Danio rerio: one gene and its partner. The protein of the gene in region 2 binds, or shares a complex with, the protein of the main gene of each other region. Links are inferred from orthologs where the notes say so. Each region holds a gene or a part of one and is shown on either strand. Other genes may lie near its edges.

Evidence for each region. Proteins that work in one complex are often made in the same cells at the same time.
Region 1: the proteins of sptlc1 (region 2) and ormdl3 are in contact, whole or in part, in a cryo-EM structure (PDB 7K0N), measured with the Homo sapiens proteins. The link is inferred for Danio rerio from reciprocal best matches to the Homo sapiens genes SPTLC1 and ORMDL3. Residues at the interface, in NP_006406.1 of Homo sapiens: Ala16, Leu17, Ala20, Pro21, Tyr23, His24, Leu27, Glu28, Leu31, Ile32, Trp34, Ile35, Leu38, Leu39, Ser41, Lys42, Thr43, Tyr44, Lys45, Leu46, Gln47; in NP_001307730.1 of Homo sapiens: Gly92, Val93, Gln94, Phe95, Thr96, Ala97, Lys100, Thr103, Ile104, Ile107, Tyr110, Phe111, Ser114, Tyr119, Gln121, Phe124, Thr128, Leu131, Met132, Leu139, Pro140, His143.

The regions. Positions count from the first base shown.
Region 1 is NC_133187.1:23,968,187-23,971,135, reverse strand, and holds the end of ormdl3 (ORM1-like protein 3), read left to right. Parts: intron 1-1,508; coding exon 1,509-1,644; 3' UTR 1,645-2,340; downstream 2,341-2,949. UniProt on the Homo sapiens protein: Plays an essential role in the homeostatic regulation of sphingolipid de novo biosynthesis by modulating the activity of the serine palmitoyltransferase (SPT) in response to ceramide levels.
Region 2 is NC_133185.1:5,705,920-5,710,105, forward strand, and holds the start of sptlc1 (serine palmitoyltransferase 1), read left to right. Parts: upstream 1-1,378; 5' UTR 1,379-1,397; coding exon 1,398-1,451; intron 1,452-4,182; coding exon 4,183-4,186. UniProt on the Homo sapiens protein: Component of the serine palmitoyltransferase multisubunit enzyme (SPT) that catalyzes the initial and rate-limiting step in sphingolipid biosynthesis by condensing L-serine and activated acyl-CoA (most commonly palmitoyl-CoA) to form long-chain bases.

The DNA of each region.
Region 1 (2,949 bases), on a different chromosome or scaffold from region 2:
TTCACACTCATACACTATGGACAATTTAGCTTACCCAATTCACCTTTACCGCATGTCTTTGCACTTTGGGGGAAACCGGAGCACCCGGAGGAAACCCACACAAATTCAGAAATGCCAACTGACCCAGCCGAGGCTCAAACCAGCGACCTTCTGGCTGTGTGGCGACAGCATTACCTACTGCACCACTGCGTCACCTGCTCGTTAACACAAATTACTAATTAGCCAATCACATGGCAGTAACTCAATGCATTTAGGCATGTAGACATGGTCAAGATGATCTACTGCAGTTCTAACCGAGCATTAGAATGGGGAAGAAAGGTGATTTAAGTGACTGAACGTGGTATGGTTGTTGGTACCAGACGGGCTAGTCTAAGTATTTCAGAAACTGCTGATCTACTGGGTTTTTCTTGCACAACCATCTCTAGGGTTTACAGAGTGGCAGTTCTGTAGGCTCAAATGCCTCATTGATGCCAGAGGTCAGTGGAGAATGTCCAGATTGGTTCCAGCTGATAGAAAGGCTACAATAACTCAAATAGCCACTCGTTACAACCGAGGTAACCAAGAGCATGTCTGAACACACCACATGTCGAACCTTGAGGCGGATGGGCTACAGCAGCAGAAAACCACACCTGGTGCCACTCCTGTCAGCTAAGAAAAGGAAACTGAGGTTACATTTCGCACAGGCTCACCAAAATTGGACAATAAAAGATTGGAAAAAATGTTACCTAGTCTGAGTCACGATTTCTGCTGCAACATTTGGATGGTAGGGTCAGAATTTTGTGTCAACAACATGAAAGTATGGATCCATCCTGCCTTGTATCAACGGTTCAGGCTGCTGGTGGTGGTGTAATGGTGTCGGGAATGTTTTCTTGGCACACTTTGGGCGCATTAGTACCAATTGAGCATCGTGTCAATGCCACAGCCTACCTGAGTATTGACGGTATAGACAAGTCCAAAGTATAGAATGGGAGATTCGCATCATGGAAATGCAGTCGACAAATCTGCAGCAACTGCGTGATGCTATCATTTCAGTATAGACCAAAATCTCTGAGGAATATTTTCAGTACCCTATGATTAAGGTAGTTCCAAGGCAAAAGATGGTCCAACCCGGTACTAGTAAGGTGTACCTAATAAAGTGGCCGGTTTGTGTATATATTACTTATTACATTATATTACTAATCGTGCACAAAAATTTAAGTTTGTATTTACATAAAACATGTTCATGTACTGTATTGTTCTGTAAATGCACACACATGTCTACATATAGTATGTTAATACAAGTATATAATTTTGTTGTATGTATATGCATATTAAGATTATTGTTCACATTACTATGAACATATAAGGAAGTGCAAGGAAAAATCAAGAAGAAACCACATCCTGTTATTAGATGCAGTCTTATGCTGTGCTGTGTCTGCTTGAACAGCTTCTGTAGCCTTTGCTTCTGTGCATCTCATGTTGCTTTCTGACGTCGAACTTGATCTTGTCCTTGTTTTTCTCCTCTACAGGTATTTCCTGACCAGTTTCTATACAAAGTATGACAGGGTCCACTTCGTCATCAACACCATTTCCCTGCTCACTGTGCTTATCCCCAAACTTCCTCAGTTCCACGGGGTCCGTCTTTTCGGGATTAATAAGTATTGATGAGGCTTTGGTCTTCAACACGAGAAGATGTGTTGACACGCAGGGCACATCCTGACTTACTCTGTGGGAATGAAAAAGGAGCTTTGTGAGATGGTCTGCTGCTTTGCGGTCGAATCGGCTGAATAATCTGCAATGATCAGTGTTTTTTTTTGTATAACATTCAGTAGAAAGAAGCACTTTTTGTTAAACCACCAGCGGAATGCAGGAGATTATAAGACTGCGTTGAACCAGTGTTTCATCATTTGGACCTGAGTGTTTGCTTTCAGTCACTTTGGCAGAAATGCTGCATTGGTGCAATGATTCAGATGGGTCAGAATCATCCAGGCTGGTTCATCATGTCGTCTTAACTGTTTTGGGTGCCTGAGTCAGCACGTCCCTGGAGTACGTTCGGCACTGGGGGTTTAGAAAAGAGAAGAAAGCTACTGTGTTTCTGAAGAAAGTGTACAATGCTGTTTTTAGCCCAGGTGCAAAAGACTGGCTTCAGTCCCATAGTTGGACAATGTCACCCTGTGCTTTTGCAAACTTTTGCAGGGGCCTTGTTTTAAAACTTTTAAACAGAGCTAGTTGAAATTTATATATAGTAATATATTTTAAAGAGATGTATGCAAATGCCAGTTGCAGTGTTCTAAGGCCAGATTTATTAAATGGAGGAATTAACACGAGAGCACCGACCCATAAAAGTGCAGATGGGAAATATGCAAACATTAAATAACAGCATTTAATTATACTTTGAAATGAATATATTTAGATAATGTCATCATACGACATTCCACATTAATGACCATGAGTGGAGGAAATTCTCCCCTCTACTGTGTTTGTTTTGTTTTCTGCCTTCATCCTTCTCTAGCAGTTGTCACAGTCATGTCAAGCACAAAATTGGTTAGATAAGCTCTTAAAGATGTTAAACAATAGCACAGATACAAGTAATTTGGCTGTAAATGTTTAGTAAATAATATTGCATGATCAATTTAAATCCTCTCTTGCTCCTACAAATGCATATGAGTCAAAGACGAGGCACCCCATTGTTTTATTTACATAAAACAATTATACCGTAGTCAATATACAGTACTGACCGACAGCTTATTAAATGCCCCCAAAAAAAATGAAAAAAGAGATGGTCTCATCATTCATAACAGATTTATTTATTTATGTAACCCCCATAACTCAATGGCTGCAGCTCTGCACAGTTTAGTTCCAACCCTGGTCCAGCACACTTACCTGTAGGTTTCATAAGCTGTGTCCCAAATGGCACACTATACAGTACAGTACACTGTGCTCTTACCCACTATGTTCTGTACTCATGCA
Region 2 (4,186 bases):
CTACTTACTCAGATTAGGATATTTTTTATGCGGTCCCCATAGGTCTGCTACCTCCTAAATCAGACAGAGCTATTTAGTCATATAACGATCATTACTATAGAATTAAGCAGACCAGTCGTACTTAAACTAGTAGTAACTTTGAATAATCACTATACTATCTAAATAGTATTAAAAGTTTATCGGGTGAAGGACTATCCCCTTAGATATCCTTTTACAACCTAAGTATACATGAATAAATGCCAATTTGTTAGTCGGAGCTCTAGAGACATCGTGTAACGTGCCGCAATGCTCCGTCTACCGTGTTCTAGTCCGCTACTAACCTGAACAGGGGCTTGTGGTGCTATGAAATTACCACAATCTACTAAAGATAATAACACGAACTCTGTTTGAATCATTCAAAACATAACAATTTATTAGTCAGGTAAATGTATTATGCCAATTCAATCAGTCAATTCATAAACGATCAATACAAAACATCAAATTATCAAAGATAAATCCAAGATGAAAAGATGCATTCCTGACTTTGAAATATACATAACATGGAACAAGCCATGTTATGGGCTGATCTGGTTAGGCAGAATCGCCCTGAGTTTTTCTCAACCCTTACCTTAAATAATCCAAGAATTCCCTCAAGGAAGGGGGTGTGAAAAAAGGCATTCACACTTAGTGTAAAAGTCACACCCCTCACAGTGGTTCAAAAGATGCCTGTAGTTCTATATTTATTATTCTGATTATGTCTATTTCTGGGAGAATGAGACCATTGTACCAATCGCACTGAGACATTTCAAATGATATCAAACATGATAGTTAAAGTCAGTTTGGTTAGTCTAAAACATTGAAACATTGAAATGACCATATGTGTGACTTGGGGGGATGAAGCTGAGTCTCAGCATAGTCAGATGCAAATGCAGCAGGAACTGGTTTTTCACGCGTTCCCCCCTGGTGGGTTGTGGAGTCCATTGGCCCTGTCTTCAGCTCATGTTTTGAATTGTCAAAGATATCAGAATATTTGCAATATTTCAATTCTTACAATATCTAAAGTGGTTGTTACATTTCAAGACAACACAAAACAACAGCAACAACGGCAACACACACACACACACACACACACACACACACACACACAATACTGCATTTCCCCCATAACATTCTCCAGCAGCCTATATTAAATGTTCAGCTTACCAAACGGTATGCAACAGTACAAGAAATGTAACAAATGGTTTCTTTATAACCATAACGTAATGCTGGTTTGATGGTGACCAAGCAAATGACATCACATTCAAAAACAGAGGTGGAAAATCCGACTGACGAAGCCTGCAATGACGCTTCTCCTCCACGCGATGGCGCCTCTTTATCAATCAGGAAGTCGCGCAGAGCGATCATGTGACTCAGTCAAAATGGCGTCGGGGCAACAGTGGGTGTTGGTGGAGATGGTGCAAGCTTTTTACGAGGTAACTACAAACTTTCTTCTTTTGTCTTTTTGAGGTTTTTAAGATTTGTAAATATCGACAGACTGTTCTGCGTTTGCTGAGGTAAACAGGACTGGCGTAGGTGGTTGTATTCGGCTGTATTTCACATGTAATCTTCAGTAGTCTCATAGTGTAACTCCAGGAAGTGTTAAATATGACATGAGTATCAGTCAGACAGGTGAGTTGCACACCTAATTCTACCTTTACTAGTAGCTATAGTGCTGTACCAATGGTGGTGGATTTACACAAATATAGGTTCTGCTAAAAATTGAATTATGTCATTGTATAACAAGAACACTGTTTATTTTGTTTTTATCTGTTGCCAAATTGTGTAGTAAGTTGAGGTAAAGTAGGTTTGGTATTCGCAAATTCGTTCTTTTAATGGCCCATATATTGTTTATCGCGCTAAGTTGAATATTGAGTCTGAAATAGCACGCAAGGATGACTTCAAAACAATGTTACCACTATGTAATTGACTGTAAATAAGGTTGTACTTTGATAGTCATTAACTGCTGTTGTGATTTCCCTATTTAAAATTTGCAAAGAGTATTTTTCTGAAATTATATTATTAAGCAGAAAGTCTGAATGTGCAAAAATAACAGAAACAATTTCCGTATTTTGGTGAAAACTTCATTTTTTTCATGGCAACGTTGACATTTGCATGGAATGGCTTAACTTATTTCTTATAACTGATTTATTTTATCTTTGTCATGATGACAGTAAATAATATGTGACTAGATATTTTTCAAGACACTTCTAAACAGCTTAAAGGGAAATTTAAAGGCTTTACTAGGTTTACTAGGCAGGTTTGGGTAATTTGGTTTGTTCTGTAGACTATTGAAAAAATATACAGCTTAAAGGGGCTAATAATTTTAACCTTAAAATGGCTTTTTAAAAAATGTAAAAAACTGCTTTTATTCTAGCCGAAATAAAACAAGTAAGACTTCATGTAGAAGAACAAAAAATTATCAGACATGCTGTGAAAATTTCCTTGATGTTAAACATCACTTGAGAAATATTTTTAAAAAGAAAAGAAAATTTAAAGGGGTTTAATAATTCAGATTTCAACTGTATATTTAATCGATGTACAGCTATGAGGAGGAAACAAAATCAATAGATCACTTGAAAATTCTCAGTTTCTCAAGATGTACTGAATTTTCTTCTTGCGTATTTGGTGTAAAAGGTTAATGTATGTTTTATTCTATAAGGGCTTCTTCCAAATAAAATAATTTAATTCCAAGTTGTTGTTTTCTTTTGGCAATAGGCCAGAATAACAAACATGAGGCGTTGCTGTAAATGAAAACTAGGGTTTTCATTTCTTAATATTTGACATGTTTAATATGAATATATGACTTTTTTTTCCAATTTGACCAATATTCTCTTAATGACAACATTTTTATATTGAAATTGGGAAAAAGTAATGTCATGATGAGTAGTGTGACGGACAAAACTGAAATATGCTTTGCTCAAACATGAGACTATACAGTGGAATTGAGAACTGGAGATTCTGAGCCTATTTGAAGGAGGTTAAGCTATTTTGATCATGATTAGGTGATATTTTTGTTATCAGTAATAATGACAAATTGCACCTTTTTCCAACAGGGAAAACCACCAACAATTAAGACCATGTGATTATGTGCTGTCATGGCTTTGCAATCCAAAAATGTAGTTATAATTGAAGTCAATGGGGCAAAAACAGCCACACACAGTATGTTAGAAAGAAAAATAAATAAAAATCTGATTCTGCACACAAACAAACAATGCAGCAAAGCCAATGTTGTTACTAACCTTTACATGTCCAAGACTGTAATTTAAAAGTACAAATAATTATTCCTAAACATCCCAATTTCTGTTTATTGAATGATGATTATGATCTAAACTAACTAAAAGGTTATTTCATACTGCAGCCAAGAAGGTTATATTCAAAATATGGCATGAACCCGCATTCCCAGTGGATAAAATGTGTTCAAAAATTAGAACGTTCTACAGCAAGAATTAACAGAGCTAAACCCCATACAATCAAAGCATGGTCTGATTTTATTGAGAAAGTTTTTAATATAATAACTAGATAATTCTCACCCTAGAGTTTTTCTTTTCCTGTGTATTGTTATTTGTTTATAATTTTTTGCTTTTATTTTATTATTATATTTTTATTTTATTCTTTATGTATTTTCATTTAATGCAAACCCTGGTTTTTACAAAGTTGTCGCTAGCTATGTATGCTGGCTTTGTTCTGCAATAAATAAATAATCACAAAAAAAGGTACAATTAAATCCATTTCACAGTTACCTTTTTATATAAAAAATCAGCGACATTACAAACTTGGGAATTAAAGAGTCAAAATCCTTTATTAAAAGAACATTTAGTAGTTTTGAACAGGACTAAGGATGTTTAATATATCTCTGGAAAAAAATTAAGAAATACCTATATATCTGATACATTTTTACAGTTTAATTTAGCAGATGTTTTCATTCCGAACGTAACCAAAGCATTGTGAATTCACAAGGGTTAACAGGGTTTTCTTCTATCAAATCATCTAATGTATATTGTATGTATTTAATATGATATGTATATGGCTATAATATGAAATCCATCAATGATTTCTTTTACATTATTTAATTTGTCGCCATTTTATACAATTTCTTATGAATGCATCTAATAATCAAAGGAACTGATACTATTTGTGTGTTGTTGTTGTTGTTGTTTTTTCTAGGCCC